Callithrix jacchus: one gene and its partners. The protein of the gene in region 3 interacts with the protein of the main gene of each other region in a pairwise test. Links are inferred from orthologs where the notes say so. Each region holds a gene or a part of one and is shown on either strand. Other genes may lie near its edges.

Evidence for each region.
Region 1: the proteins of SNCA (region 3) and BCL2L1 interact in binary tests that used the Homo sapiens proteins (3 or more experiments, as listed by UniProt). The link is inferred for Callithrix jacchus from reciprocal best matches to the Homo sapiens genes SNCA and BCL2L1.
Region 2: the proteins of SNCA (region 3) and ARFGAP1 interact in binary tests that used the Homo sapiens proteins (3 or more experiments, as listed by UniProt). The link is inferred for Callithrix jacchus from reciprocal best matches to the Homo sapiens genes SNCA and ARFGAP1.
Region 4: the proteins of SNCA (region 3) and LAMP2 interact in binary tests that used the Homo sapiens proteins (3 or more experiments, as listed by UniProt). The link is inferred for Callithrix jacchus from reciprocal best matches to the Homo sapiens genes SNCA and LAMP2.

Annotation. Positions count from the first base shown.
Region 1 is NC_133506.1:7,474,938-7,478,995, reverse strand, and holds the start of BCL2L1 (bcl-2-like protein 1), read right to left. Parts: upstream 2,834-4,058; 5' UTR 2,605-2,833; intron 2,434-2,604; exon of another isoform or gene 2,341-2,433; intron 1,727-2,340; exon of another isoform or gene 1,474-1,726; intron 1,203-1,473; exon of another isoform or gene 1,185-1,202; 5' UTR 1,077-1,184; coding exon 513-1,076; intron 1-512. UniProt on the Homo sapiens protein: Potent inhibitor of cell death. Inhibits activation of caspases. Appears to regulate cell death by blocking the voltage-dependent anion channel (VDAC) by binding to it and preventing the release of the caspase activator, CYC1, from the mitochondrial membrane.
Region 2 is NC_133506.1:58,772,453-58,776,014, reverse strand, and holds part of ARFGAP1 (ADP-ribosylation factor GTPase-activating protein 1), read right to left. Parts: intron 3,387-3,562; coding exon 3,354-3,386; intron 2,384-3,353; coding exon 2,354-2,383; intron 1,379-2,353; coding exon 1,322-1,378; intron 659-1,321; coding exon 599-658; intron 336-598; coding exon of another isoform or gene 253-335; intron 1-252. UniProt on the Homo sapiens protein: GTPase-activating protein (GAP) for the ADP ribosylation factor 1 (ARF1). Involved in membrane trafficking and /or vesicle transport.
Region 3 is NC_133504.1:107,737,717-107,741,900, reverse strand, and holds the start of SNCA (alpha-synuclein), read right to left. Parts: upstream 2,802-4,184; 5' UTR 2,610-2,801; exon of another isoform or gene 2,488-2,609; intron 2,317-2,487; exon of another isoform or gene 1,882-2,316; intron 1,651-1,881; exon of another isoform or gene 1,233-1,650; intron 740-1,232; exon of another isoform or gene 592-739; intron 163-591; 5' UTR 138-162; coding exon 17-137; intron 1-16. UniProt on the Homo sapiens protein: Neuronal protein that plays several roles in synaptic activity such as regulation of synaptic vesicle trafficking and subsequent neurotransmitter release.
Region 4 is NC_133524.1:116,320,227-116,323,788, forward strand, and holds part of LAMP2 (lysosome-associated membrane glycoprotein 2), read right to left. Parts: intron 2,880-3,562; coding exon 2,816-2,879; intron 2,106-2,815; coding exon 1,941-2,105; intron 1-1,940. UniProt on the Homo sapiens protein: Lysosomal membrane glycoprotein which plays an important role in lysosome biogenesis, lysosomal pH regulation and autophagy.

The DNA of each region.
Region 1 (4,058 bases), on a different chromosome or scaffold from region 3:
GCCTGGCCATGCCCTAGTCTGCGGGGAGAGTGCCACACATGCAAACTTTGAAATAAAGGGAACATGATTTGGGGGAGAGAAGCCCAGGATAGGACTGAGATGCCCTGCGGGGAACAGATGGAGAGGTCTATGGGTCACTGATGCCCATCATCTCTAGGCATTATACTCATCACCCCTTTGCATGTGAACTATTGTATAAGTTAAGGGAAACACTGACCTAACTTCCTAGTCTCACAGGTTAGGGACTTAATGAACACATAGGCTATAGTTTTCTTTGCTGAGAAACTGGAACACAAGTATGGAAGAGTGGAGTCCTGGGGGTGACCAGAGTGAAAGCTGCCTGATCTTTGAAGCACAGGATTATTTTGTGAAATGAGACCAGTCAGGTCTCCTCAACTATCAACATCTCCAACAATCACCCAACACAACAGAAAGAGATACAGAAGAAGGGCTGTTGGGGATCTCTGACCAGAGGCCAAAGAAAAAGGACACACAAGGGGCTTGGTTCTTACCCAGCCGCCGTTCTCCTGGATCCAAGGCTCTAGGTGGTCATTCAGGTAAGTGGCCATCCAAGCTGCGATCCGACTCACCAATACCTGCATCTCCTTGTCTACGCTTTCCACGCACAGTGCCCCGCCGAAGGAGAAAAAGGCCACAATGCGACCCCAGTTTACCCCATCCCGGAAGAGTTCGTTCACTACCTGTTCAAAGCTCTGATACGCTGTCCCGGGGGTGATGTGGAGCTGGGATGTCAGGTCACTAAATGCCCGCCGGTACCGCAGTTCAAACTCGTCGCCTGCCTCCCTCAGTGCTTGCTTTACTGCTGCCATGGGGATCACCTCCCGGGCATCCAAACTGCTGCTGTGGCCCGTGGCTCCATTCACCACTGGGCTGTCCGCCAGGTGCCAGGATGGGTTGCCATTGATGGCACTGGGGGTCTCCATCTCCGAATCAGTCCCTTCTGGGGCCTCAGTCCTGTTCTCTTCCACATCACTAAACTGACTCCAGCTGTATCCTTTCTGGGAAAGCTTGTAGGAGAGAAAGTCAACCACCAGCTCCCGGTTGCTCTGAGACATTTTTATAATAGGGATGGGCTCAACCAGTCCATTGTCCAAAACACCTGCTCACTGAGTCTGGTCTCTGGTTAGTGATTCTCTTCTAAGATCCAAAGCCAAGATAAGATTCTGAAGAGAGAGAAAGAGCTTCAGGAAAAAAAAAAAAAATTAATATGCATGCCATTTACCCTAAACATCCCATTCTCCCTCCAGGTACCAAAACTGGTTTCTTTGTGGCTCTTAGGAAGTCTAGGTTCCAAGATACTTCAATTAAGTCAAATCGAAAACACCAAGAGTGGGCTCTGAATCTCTCACCAGCCTTTTCTACCCCAGCCACCCCCTCTTCTCCGAAATGTCTTCCTCGGAAAGTCACCCCCTGGGCAGTCCCCCGCGACTCCCCCTCCCCCGCACCACCTACATTCAAATCTGCCTTAAGCAAAGGCAGGCAGGTGCAGCCCCCGGAAGATCTTTTGTATCACAGGTCGGGAGAGGAGGTGGCGGCCGGGATGCCGGTAACTCAGCCGGCCTCGCGGCGGCTGGCAAAAAACCCAGCTCCGGCTACAGGGATCATGCGACCCGCAGGCTGGGAGCCCAGAAGGCGACACAGGAATTGCGAAGCTCAGGAACCAGCCCCCTCGCTTGCTTCCTCCTCCATCGCCGGGATCGAGGGCGGCCGCTCTGCAGCCGCGGCCTCCTGCCACCCGGGAGCCCAGCCCCCTCGCTCTTGCACGCCCCTTGGCTCTCCGCCTCCTACTGGGAGCCAGGAGAACTCTCCTGGAGGTGGCTGGTAGAATTTAGCTAGGTTTTCTTTCTTTCTTTTTTTTCTTTCCTTTTTCTATTTAAGCACCAGTCCAGGGTGAGGTGGAGACGTCCGAAACCCTGAAGGGACTTCTCAATGGGGTTCAAGGTTTCGATGAGGGACGCAGGGACGGGGAAACTGCCTCGGATCTGCGATCTGACTTCGGGAAGGCCACCGCCAGGCGTGTCCGGGAGGCTGAAGGCCGGAGACCCCCCACAAATGCCGCTGGTTTTCTTTGAATTCCCCAAAGGCCCTGAACGTGGCGGTGGGGGATTGCCGGGTCCTCCATTCCCCGCCCGGACACAATGGCTGCCGGCGCCCTGCACAAAGACGGGGTGAGGATGAGGCGCTGGGCCTCTCCTCGGGTCAGAAAGAGGGGTCGAGGCCTGCTCGACGGCCCCCACAGCTGAGACCACGTTTTCCTGGGGACAGGCCCAAAGCGGCTTCCTAGCGCCCCCAGGAGGGCTCTGGGGCCGGGGGCTGCACCTTTCCGGAGCCCAGGGTGGGCGGGCTCCGGCCTCGCGGCTTCTCGCGCTCTCTAGGCCTGGTACCCGCGGAGCCACCGCCCCGTTGCTAGGCAACCGCCCTCCCCCAGGGGCGCCCCCTAGACCTTCCTGGGAGGAGGGGTCTCACCCCCGGCGGCCCGCCCCAGTGCAGCCAATCAGCGAACCCAGCCGGCAAGGAAGCGAAACGGCGAAGGCTCCCATTGGGCGTAGCGGCTGTCACGCACAGGGGAGGCGGCGCTCTCACCTGCGAGCCCCGCGAGCCGTGGGGGACCACATCCCCCTTGGTCGGCCTGGTAACTTTTAGACGCTAGAGCTCTTCGCGGCCGAGTTCCGCGCCGCGGACCCGGGCCGGCCTACCTAGCTGCCGGCCTACCTGGCTGACTGCTCGCGCCGTCTCTCCCGAACAAGCCGGCCTCAGTTTCCCCTGAAGAGACAGGGGAACTTGCAAGCTCAGTCACTTCCGGTGCCGCGGCAACGCGCGCGAGCCCGAGACGCAAAGGGAGTGCGCGCCTAAAGTGACTGGCATCAGGACCGGGGGGAGATCGCCTCCTTGCGGTAGATCCAGGGAATCGAGAGACGCAAAGAATCATTTATAACCAGATTTTCATTTATTCATTCATTCAGTCAGTCATCAGACAATCAGGCTATTTCATCTGTCCGTCGGTTTATATATAGAAAAAGCATCGCTTTGTGGTTAAGCACTTTGTCTGGGTTCTAACTCTGCTAGTTAGGCAAGTTTCTCAATTGCTCTGTGCTTTAATGTCCTCAACTGTAAAATGGGCAATGGTACCAACCTCTCTCGTTGAGCTATTATGATTAAAATAGTTATTAATTGCAAAGTCTATAGGGCAGGCCGGGCGCGGTGGCTCATGCCTGTAATCCCAGCACTTTGGGAAGCCAAGGCAGGCGAATCACCTGAGGTCAGGAGTTCAGACCTGCCTAGCCAACGTGGTGAAACCCCAACTCTACTAAATTCCATCTCTACTAAAAATACAAAAAATTAGCCTGGTATGATGGTGAATGCTTGTAATCCCAGCTACTCGGGAGGGTGAGGCAGGAGAATCGCTTGAACACGGGAGGCAGAGGTTGCAGAGCCGAGATCGTGCTACTGCACTCCAGCCTGGGTGACAGAGCGAGACTCCGTCTGAAATAAAAAAGTCCGTAGGACAGTGTATGGCCCATAGAATAGGCTGCATAAATTCATTCGACAAATATTTAAGTTGCTGAAGATAAGAGGAACAACATGGCCCCTGTTTTCATGGAGATTTGTGCCCTAGAGTTGGAGAGAGATAGTAAACTAAGAAAATACCAGCCTGGGTAACATAGTTAGACCCCATCTCTACAAAAAAAAAAAAAAAAAAAAAAATTAGCCAGGCACGGTGGTGTGTGCTGGTTATCCCAACTATTGGGGTGGCTGAGGTAGGAGGATCACTAGAGCCTGAGAAGTCAAGGCTACAGTGAGCAGTAGAGGCTGCAATAAGCAATGATCGCCCTGTCTCAAAACACACACACACACACACACACACACACGGTAATTTTCTTTTTTTTTTTTTGAGACAGAGTTTTGCTCGTTACCCAGGCTGGAGTGCAATGGCACGATCTCGGCTCACCACAACCTCCGCCTCGTGGGTTTAGGCAATTCTCCTGCCTCACCCTCCTTAGTAGCTGGGATTAATTACAGGTACGCACCACCATGCC
Region 2 (3,562 bases), on a different chromosome or scaffold from region 3:
GGAAGGCCCCATCACGGCAGAGGCACGCAAGCCAGTGCACACCGACTGGCTGAGAAGGCCCAGGTAAAATCCAGAAGCAAGGGGTGCCTGGTGCACTCATACAGACAGAGACGCATACGGACACTCCATAGTAGCGCGGGGTGCATGTGGGATGCGGCAGCAAGGACAGCCGCGTGCACAGACCTCAGGAGCACCTACACACACACAGCGGAGGGGGTAGAGCCTGCTCTTCCCTCCCCATCTGCAGAGTACCTCACGCCAGTAAACAGGACAAAACGCAGACCCCGACCGGCCCGCAGAGCAGCAGACGGAAGACGGCGAGGACGGCGCCGGCACTTACCGAGGAAAAGGCCAGCAGCAGCAAGGGAAGAGTGGAAGGGACAGTTAGTGGCTGGCTGGGTGGCAGCGGGCCAAGCTGTTTCCATATCCCTCTGGCTGTCAGGCCGGGCAGCCCTCCTTCCATCTCAGAGGATGGGGCCACTGCTGAGGTGGGCTGGGTCAGGCTGGGGCCTGCTCAGAGAGCCCCTGCTCTCGTGCCCAGGGCCATGGATATGGAAACTGGCTTCAGCCGTGCCTGCACCTCTGGCAGGCTCCCTACCTTGGATGCCAACTGAGAGACCCCACTGGACACATCATCAAAAATCTTTCCCTCCTTCACCTGCATGGGTTAAGATAGCGGCATTAGTGGGGGCGGAAGAGACTAAAGCCTAAAGCTTCTGAAATGCAGGGAGTCCCCAGGGTGAGGGCACCCGAAACAAGGGCGTGGACAGCTGTTGGGCTGAGCCCAGAAAGTTCTACACTGGCCCCAAAGTGATTCCAGCATCAAGAGACCACATCACTGCCAGGCCTGGCACCTGCAGAAGTGGCCCCCGCCAGGCACTGCTGACAAAGTGACCTGAGGACTGTCCATGCTGCCCCAGGTGTGTCCCCTGCGTGTCCCAGTCAGACCCGAGGATGGTCCATGCTTCCCCAGGTGGGTCCCCCACGTATCCCAGTCAGACCCGAGGACGGCGCGTGTCACTCCCACAACAGAGCCTCCTCTGTGCACAGCACTGGGGCCAGCTCTAGGGGGTGAGGCGGAGGAAAGGAAGGAGCTGGGGGCCTGTGAGGGAGGCCCTAGGCCAGGGGAAGAGATCAGCTGGAGGTTCCGAGAGGCACCCAGCCTGAGGAGGACACCTGTGCTAGAGACGTGGGGTGTGAGGTTGGGCCTGAGTGCCAGCTGCTGGACAAACCAACCCTGATGCCCCCAACACACCCACACCCCCAAGTGAAGGGCGCTGGGTACAAGCAGCACATCAACCCCTCGGAGCTGCCCCATTACCTTCTCCTGAGCAGGTTTGAGGACGTTCTCGTTCAGGCTATGGCCCAGCTCGGACGCCTGTAGGAAGGGAAGTCATGTGACCCTGATGGCAACTCCGCGGGGGAGACGGGTTGACAGCGGCAGCCCAGGCCAGCAAAGGGCAGCGGGAGCTTCGCCAGCAGGGGAAGGCAGCAGGGCACAAGCCCAGGAGGCAGGAAACAGGGCTTTGCACACAACCCCCAACATATAGTCAGCCTCCAACATATAGTCAGCGAAGACCGTGCCCCCAATTCTCGCAGAAGGGCCCTCAAGGACACAGGGAGCTCCCTCTGGGGGTCTCCCTCATGCGCCGCCATGCAGCCAGCGGGGCTGGGCCGGGGAGGACATGCCCCATGCACCTCAAGCAGAAGCAACAGCAGCTGTGGCCACCCCAGGCTGACCTGGGATGCCTCGTCTTCCTTCCCCCACAGGAAAGAAGGCAGGGAGGCTGGGGCCATGGAAAGAAGCTGCTGAGAAAGCTCAGCCCCTCCTGATCCCGAGTCACTTGGGGATGATGGCCACAGGGCCACCTGTGGATGTGGGGTGAGGCCTCCTCTCCCCAAGACCTCTGCGCAGGGAGAAGCGCAGATCAAAGACCATAGGGGAAGGACTCGTCACGGAGCAAAGATCCTCCTCTGCAATAAGTTCCAGGGAGGGCAGCACGGCCTGGAAACCCTGCTCAGCAGCAGCTTCATGCCCAGTGCCAGCTGCCCACACCCTCCCCCCCGCGTTCAGCGCCTCCTGGCGGCAAGCCTGGGTCAGGGTCCGTGTTTTTTGGAGACGAGGTCTCATTATTTTGCCCAGGCTGGAGTGCAGTGGTACTGGGGTGACAGGCACACACCAGCAAGCCTGACGCAGATCCTGGAGAGCCACGGCCCAAGGCCGGGAGAGGGTCTGCGCGTGCGCACATGTGAGGCAACACGAGACAGGGGCAGCACGCAGGAGGGGCGGCGGGAGCCAAGCGCATTCTCGGCGGAGACATAGACGCCATGCATAAGCAGATGCGGGCTTTACCGGCTCCGGCTGCTGCTTGTGACCCCAAAACTTTACCAGGCAGCAAGGCAACAGGTGAGGAGAGAGCAAGGTGAGGGTGGCATTAGTAACTCAGAGCACCTGCGAACCCGCCACGTGGTGCTGCATCGATAAGGCAGCACAGGGGGCGGGGGGGTGTCTCAGCAACATGACGGGGAGCCACCACTCCCTGCCCTGGACCTGACCACCACGCTCAGAAACTGCGTGACTGATTGCGGCTCAGGAGCCTGGGGGCCGTGGCAAAGCCCCTACAGCCGGGGGTGGCCACACAGAAGACTCCCTCAGAGAGAAAGGAGTGCTACAGGCCATGGGGGGACAGACGGGCACCTCGTGAGAATAGACTCCTCCCCCTGGGAGCAAGAGTGTGTCCTAAAAAAACACATACAGCAGTTTTGGCTTTCGTGGTGGGCCTCACGTGGCCACTGCCTCCTGGGTGACTCTGACCCTCAGGACAGCCAGACCGCAGCCCTGACCACCAAGTGGGGACTGTGGGGCCGCCACTCACATCCTAAAGAATACGGATATACAAAGGCCCAAGACCACACCACCTACAACCAGGGCATGTCCTGGCCAGGGCAAAGGGACGCTCCATGGCCCCCGAGTACAGACGCATCCTGGGTGCTGCCGGCACAGCACCACCCGCAACGCCCCTGCCGGCTGAGCAGCCACCGCCAGTGTAGGCCATCTGCCAAGCTGGGCAGTCCTGCTCCCAACAAGGTGCTCGGCCGCAAAGTGGCCACACACCAGCACCAGGTGCCAGTAACAGTGGAGAGTTTGGCCCCAAGGCCCTCAACAGGCCCATGAGGCAGCCACTCTGGCATGAAGAGGGGCCGAGTCAGGGAGCAACATGCTGGAAACACCCCTGCTATGCTGGGCCCTCAGCCCTGAGCACGCGGCCTGGGAAGAGGGAACCAGGCAGCTCTGGGCGCTGCACATGATGTCAGAGGCTCAGGATAGGGTGCAGAAGCTTCTCCTCTGTTACCTTCTGACTTGCTTGGGATCCAAATTTTGTAGCCTAAAACAGAAAACACAGACAGGGCTTGACAGTGTTAACACTGTAGCCTAAAATGAAACACACGGACGGAGCCAACAGCTTAACACCACCTGCCAAGCTTCCTTCCTCAGGGCCCACGGACTCTCAGTTCCAGGACTGTCTCCCAGTGGCCCCCAGGCTGCCAGCAGCTCTGAAGC
Region 3 (4,184 bases):
TCTGAGGTTTACCTACCTACATAGAGAACACCCTCTTTTGTCTTTCCTGCTGCTTCTGCCACACCCTGTTTGGTTTTCTCAGCAGCAGCCACAACTCCCTCCTTGGCCTTTGAAAGTCCTTTCATGAATACATCCATGGCTAATGAATTCCTTTACACCACACTGGAGAACATAAAATACACTTTGAATGAGAACTTTTTGAGGAAAAAAAAAAAACACTGAAAAATTATTAGAAACCCTCCAAAGTGTGAGACTCTTTTAAGTGTACACTCATTTAACCATTGGACAAAGCAGACATTTTTAGCTCTGGCATTAAAAATTTAGCATCTCCCATCCATCTTGGCTAGTAAAAGTCTAGCCACCTAACCATGTATTAAGATGAATCCTCTGAGTTGTTATTACTGCATTTCAGAAGTGGAGTTGCAAGAAAAGATTCACCCTTTTTCAACTTCCCAGGGTCTAAAGGGTAACAGTATGAGTTAGAAGCCTGGAAGCTGGAGCTTAAGGTCAGGGGCATCCTTAACGTGAATCCCAGAATAAGGCTACCGGGTTGATGACGGAGAAGCATGGGGAAGAGAACTAACTACTCACTCTGGGTGTGGTTGAATCTCAGGCAAACAGCGAGCCCAGGGGCGCTGGTTCTAATCCACAAGAACATTGGCCACCCCCCAACCCCTGCCCGCCCTCAGCTATCTATCCAGAGCAGGCGCCGCTCACACCCGCCGGCGGTCGGCGGTCTGGAGGCCCGCACCAGCCACCTGAGGAGGCGTTCTTAGCCTCCACCCAGCGGACCGCGAGCCTGCACTTGTTAACCCTTTACCACCTGTTGACTTGGCCTCCCTGCACTTTCATTTCATTATTTGCCAAATGCAGCTTGCTTACTTTACAGAGAAAAACCGAGAGAGCGGGCAGAGGAATTTCGGGTAAGAGAGAAATAAAAGTTGGATGCTCAGGCTCCATGGAGCATCCTCGGGTTTCCCGGGGAAAAGCGGATCCTGGGGAATGCCTGACCTCTCAGCCTTTGAGGAGAAGCAAATATCGGAAGCAGGAGGAAAGCCAGGTCCAGTCTCTTTCCTTAGGCTCCCGAAAGGGCAAGTACTCATCGCCCAGAGACCTGGCACAGCGGATCCTCACTGCAGCACCACCCCCTCCCGGCGCCCACGACCACTTCTCTCCCACCTGGCGTTCTCCGGGATTTCCAAAGACATACGTTTAGATCTACAGGTACTTACCAGAGTCCCTCTGCTTCTCCACAACTCCGATTCCTCCCCACCTCCCTTAAAAAATTTTTAAACAATTCCCAAATAATATTGAATAGGGAAGAGGGAGGGAAAGGAGCGCATAGGAAAGGCGGAGGCGGCACCGGGAGGGGGACGGTCCCCAGAGGAGGCCGCCGTCAGCACAACTCGGCGACGCTAGGCTGGGGGCGTGGGAGGCAAATCCGCTAACCTGTCGTCGAATGGCCACGCCCAGTCCCTCGCTCACGAGGATGAAGAGAAAGGGAGGCTTGAAGGGAAGGCGGGAGGGCGCGCCCAGGACGCTCTCCGCGGGGCCGGGCTGGGGTCTGCGCTGCAGCCCGCACGCACCTCACTCCCGCGTCGCGGCGCTCGGTCGCTCGCCCCCTCTCTCGGGCCCCTTCTGGTCGTCGCCGTCGTCCTCCGCCTGGTCCTCCTCCAGCTTCTCCTCGCCTCTCCGCCCCCAGCGCTGATTTGTCAGCGCCTCTCCCCGCCCTCTCTCGGCGCTCGCGGTTTCCCTGCCGCGTGCGCTGCTCCGTTCCCTTTCTCGGATGGGGATGGGGCAGGGGGCGGAGGGTGAACTATCAACTCCAGCCGCCTGCCTGACCGCGCAAATCGGGAAAGTGGGGGTGCCTTCGCGCCTTACCTCAAGTTCAGGGTCACGGGCACTCTTTTGGCGCTCGCGAGGGGTTGGGGTTGGGCTGACGCCTCTCCGTCTTTCCCATTCCCCTCTCTTCCTGTCCCCGCCTTTCCCCCCAGGTCCTCCTGGGGACCATCCCCTGCACCGCGTCAGAGTCGACCTGGGAGAGTCGGGGCCCTGAGGGTCGACCACCTAGAGCAGAGCCTATTTCTTGGGGGGCTGCTGGAGGAAACAGCAGCGCAGGAGGCTGCTCACACGGCACAGCCGAGAGCACTTTGCCCTCGTATCGCTGAAATTTACTCGCCGTCGTCCGCTATAACGTTAAAGGTCGCTTTAGTTCAAATATCCCCAAGATTTCCGTTTGCTCTTAATCTAGGACGAGCCCGAAAGGGTCCCGCAGGTGAAGCGGAGACTACTAAGGAAGAGTTACAGGTTAAGGACGCAGGAGGAGGCTCAGCAAATCCTCTTCCCACCCCACTATCACCATTTTCCTTTCCACCAATCAGCGCCTGCCAGACGCTGATTTTCCCATCAGTGGAACAAGGAATAAATATTCCCCAGCCGTCTAAAACAAGCAGTCCTAAGGCTTTTCGCTCTAGAAATGGGACTTACTTTGCAGACCCAAGCGCGTGGTCTATCTAGGAGGCAAATCCAGCGTGATCTCCACTACCCGACCATCATATACAATTTCTTCTTCAGCCCCTTCTGAAAGGAGAATGCTACACACCACTCACCTTTCTGACTTCTGATTCTCGTTGCCCTCAGAACTGACACCCCCTTTTGTCTCCCTCACCCCCAACACGCTCAAACACACAGACATACAAACGCGAACTTCAAGACAATTTTTGCATCGCTTAACACATTTTCACCTCTTTCAGAGCTGGAAGGAAGACAGCTGTTCCTAGATCACACCAGAATGGAGAAGCAAGCTCCTCCCACTAGCAGAAAGCCTTTGCTTTCTGTGCCTGGATTCGGAAGATTAGTTAAGCCCTGGAAAAGGTGGGGGGGGGGGGGGGAAACAACTCGTTTTTGCTGTATGGTTTTGCAAAAATTGTTTTTATATTTATAGAAAGTAATGTTTTGTTTGATTCTTGCGCTCATTTTGGTTCTGAAATTTGAGTAAAATCAAATTTAAACATAAAAAACAACTTTAAAACCACAAGGAACAGGAAGCAAATGATTATACATAAAAGACATATAGAAGATAATGCATATGTGTTCAGTGGAAAATAGCAGAGCATGAAAGCAAGATTATAGATATTTATTACTTAAGCACTTCCTTGAACTCTTGGTCTGCCCTTTGGAAAAGCAGACTTTCCATAATGCAGTAGCTCACATTAATATTGTGTGTTTGCCTACCACCACAGCAAAAAGGTTGGATTTGGGAGCTAGTATGCTGTCTGGCTTTGAGACCGTGAACAAGTTATGTTCTTCTGTTTCCAGTTTTCTTTTTTGTAAATGAAGGGGTGAACTCAGGTGACCGATCTATTCTCAACTTCTTGTTATGGGAAATATTCAAACACACGAAAGTAGACACAATGAAGGACTCCCATGTGAATATCACCCAACTTTTACATGTTTTTCAATGCATGGCTGATCATGTCTCATCCATATGTCCACTAACTTTATCAGTACAAATACTCCCTGTTTTTTGTCACCAAATTCAAGCTTTGTATATATCTTTTCAGCTGTAAACATTCAGTATGCATCCACAAAATTTAGAAACTGTTTAAAAATAACCACAATATCATTAGATAATTATTTTAAATTGCAGTATAATTTACACCTAGTGAAATGCTCAGATGTTGTGTCCCTTTAAGTCACTTTGAAAAAGCCATTCTTTAGTGTAACCCACACCATTTTGAAGATTCAGGACATTTTCATCACTCCAGACAGTTACCTTGTACCTTTCATGTGCATGTTCTCAAATTTCATAAAAATCTAATCACATAGTACGAACTTTGTTTCATATCTGTGTGACCTCTTTTACTCAGCATAATATTTGTGAGGTTCATTCATGTTGTTGCATGAATCAGTGGTTTGTTTTTTATTGCTTTTTATTGTTTCTTTGTATTACTGTTAATAGTATATGTTTTCCATTGTGCCTCCTTACAGCTAGTACGTCAATAGACTATTACAACAATTATTTAATATATTATTTCATATGACAAATTTATAGTTTAACAGTGACCTCCTTGAGACCTGGTGCTTTAAGTCAAAGAGATAAATAAAATGACAGATATTTCAGGTCTTATTAGCAGACCAATGTGAGAGAATTATTTTTGGACAGTTGCATTTCTTATAATATT
Region 4 (3,562 bases), on a different chromosome or scaffold from region 3:
TAGCCCACTTTCACATAGGCAGATTAGCTCTCAGTGGTACAGTGAATTGTCTTTTGGGAAAGTGGAAACAGTATCAGGAAGGTATCATATGATGAGAATAGCCAGGCTGGCTCTGGAGTCCCTTTAGAGTAGGGGGTCAGCAAGCTGTAGCCCATGGGCCAAATCTGGTCCAAGATCTAAAAATGGCTTTTACATTTTTAAATGGTTGCAAAAAATATTTTGTGACACATGAGAGCACATAAAATTCAAATTTCAGTGTCCATAAATAAAGTTTTATTGGATCACAGCCATAGTCATCTGTTTATGTGTTGCTGTTTTTGTGCTACAATAGCAGATTTGAGTAGTTGCGACAGAGACCATATGGCCCCAAAGCCTAAAACACTTACTGTTTGGAACTTTACAGAAAAGTTTGCAGATCGTGACTTAGAACATACGATTTTAGTGGCTGCAAAGTCAAGAAACTGGGACCTCTTACTAATTTGAGTGTGCTTACTACATTTGTTATCTGGTCAGGGGTGGGCAGCCTAAGGGGGCTATTTTCTTCTATTTCTAGAGAGTGGTCTGATCCAGTAAAATCCAATCAACACTCTTCTACCTTACTGCAATTCTATTTCTTTCCCCATACAGTCAAGTATTACCTATGCGTTGTATTTATATACAGCCAAGAATCTAGTTCCACAAATGGATTATGCATTCAATATCAGTATTAAATGCTGCATATCTCTTTGTGTGATATTTTTAATTCTATGTACATAAAAACCAAAGTTTCAAATTAAGAGAAAGAGCACAGCTCATCTCTATTACAGCTGACTAGATAAAAGGCTTGAACTGATGATACTAATACTGCAAATAATTTTAAACTGTAAACACAAATCTGGACTTAAAATTAGGGGAATAATGAAGGGGAGCCAGATAAAAAGTCCAAAAATAAAGCTAGTAAAGGATCAAAATAATTGAAGTACATAAGCAAAACAGGCAAAAGGTAAAATTAATTATTGAAAATATTTTAAAAGTGTAACTAACATCTTCAGTCACAAGAATGGTAGGGTGGAGACCTCAATTTATTGTGATCTAACCAAGTCAGACTAAGTAGTCAACACCACTGCAAAAGCGGTCGAATGGCTCACAGTATATCTGCTTTTAAACACAGCTTCCACATTTCCTTCCAAACCACAGAATTAATGGTTAAAAAGGATGTGGATGATTTGAATAGCTCTGCTCAATGGAGTTGTGATCCACAAACCCCCAATTTTAGGTAATGGGCTTAAAAGGATAAGTCAATTAAGGAACTTTATGTACTTTTCTTCTTCATGCAGATTTTAATCTTGTAATGCCAAATATGTCTTTCATATTCATATGAACACATTATAATGAGCCCTTCACAAAGGTTTCATTAAAAATCTAATAAATACCACCATTAGCCCTGAGTGATCTTCAAAAAGCCTCATTCACACTGGCATATGCTTTGAAAACTCTTCAGATCATATTGGCTGGCAAAAACATAGTTCATGATATTTGAGGCTTTGCTACTGCTCTTTATCTTTTGTCTTAACAAAATCAGACCCAACTGCTTTCGTTCAGGTATGAAAATGTTTCTCCAGTGAGAAGATGGCCCCAAGAAGCAGAGGCAAGATGCTCAAAATTGCTACTCCCAAGTACCATCTTCCCTACAAACTAAAACCCGTACCTCAAATAAAGCTTCTATCCGTTTTTAGCTTTAAGAACTTCGTTGCAAATGATTTTAAGATAAAAAAAAATCATCTCAGTTGAGCAAAATGATGAGCTAAATACAGAGTCGCACAATGTGCTCAAGGCTATGAGACGTCTGGTGAATTCATGTTCCTCTATTTCAACGTTTAAATGTCTATGATTCAAAGGAAAAGCTACCTATCAGTCAACAGAATAACATAAATTATTAATGAAGTTTGCTTGATTCTTACCTGTAGAATACTTTCCTTCTATCACATTGAAAGGCTGAACCCTTAGATCAAAGGTATTTATCTGAAATGCTCCAGACACTGAAACAGTCTGCTCTTTGTTGCACATATAAGAACTTCCCAGGGGGGCATCCCAGTAGCTGAGATTGTTATTTGCAATGCTGAAAACTTCAAAGAAAAGAAACAGGTTAGTGACTTCTTATCCTATCAACATCAAAAATGGGAAAGGGCCAGGTACACTGGCTCACACCTGTAATTCCAGCACTTTGGGAAAGCCATGGTTGGCAGATAGTGTGAGCCCAGGAGTTCGTGACCAGCCTGGGCAACATGGCAAAATCCTGTCACTATAAAACATACAAAGAAAAAAAATTAGCTGGGCATGATAGTGTGCACCTGTAGTCCCAGCTACTTGGAAGGCTGAGGTGGGTGGTTGGCTTGAATCTGGGATTAATCTGTGGTCGCGCCATTGCCCTCTAGCTTGAGCACAGAGCAAGACCCTGTCTCAAACAAACAAACAAAAAGTGACAGTCCTCAGGGTTTTTCAGGGAAGTATGAGAGCCTGGGGGACAAGATCAACCCACAAAAAGCAATTTTTACCATCAGTAGGTTCCCTTATCTTTCTATAGATGTTTCTATAGTCTAAAAATCAGTCCTATCCTTAATTATTATCTACCATACTTTGAAAAGATGAGATACAGGAAAAGACAGAACATCATAGTTCTAAGTTACTAATTTTAAGGTGTGACCAAGGTATACTTTTTACATAGCATCTTCTGTCTCATTAAATAAGGCACTATTTGGTAATAAGAACATTATGATTTCTAATCCTTTGGGGTAACCCACACTTTTTTTTCCCCCCAGGCCAATGCTTTGCTTACCAGAGCCATTAACCAAATTCATGCTGACATTCACTTCCTTCAGATAGAATCGGTTTTCATTTTTCTGTTTGAAAAAGAGCTTCCAGTTAATCAACATACGACAACTGTCTACAGATAACAGATACAGTTAATATCTACAGAAGAAAATCAATCTAACACTATTACACAGAAGAAGAAACCATGCATTAGAATAAACTGCAACCAAGTAAAAGAGAACTCAAAATCTAACAGAAACCCCTTTCCTCTGTATTTTGTTCCAACTTTTGGAGCAAAAGTATAGTCATGGGGATCTTGGACACTTGAAGGTTTATCCCTTATCCTCCTGTCACTTGCTGAGCCCTCACCACCTCTAGCCTGGATCACAATAACCTCTTAAGGGGGCTCCTCCAGCCTAATCCTCCCTTTTCACTGCTATTACCTTTCTGAAGTACTCATCCGATCAGCCAGTCATTCTTATCATTTCAGAGTGTGAATACTCCAGGAGCTACCAAAATGAACCACACTTCAATCCTGCCTTTACCCTGTTTGCAATCTGCCAGAGAAGCTGAGATAAACATATAAATAACCATATTACAAAAGAGAAAGTGAAAAATCATAAAAATAGGAGAGAAATCACTTCCAACTAAGGGAGGAGAAAAAGTAATGCCAGCTTACGGAAGAGGCATTTTGAACTCGGCAGGATTCTCTTAGGAAAAATGTAGGAAAAGGGATATTCAAGAGAGTAACAGCATAAATAAAGGCAGTTAG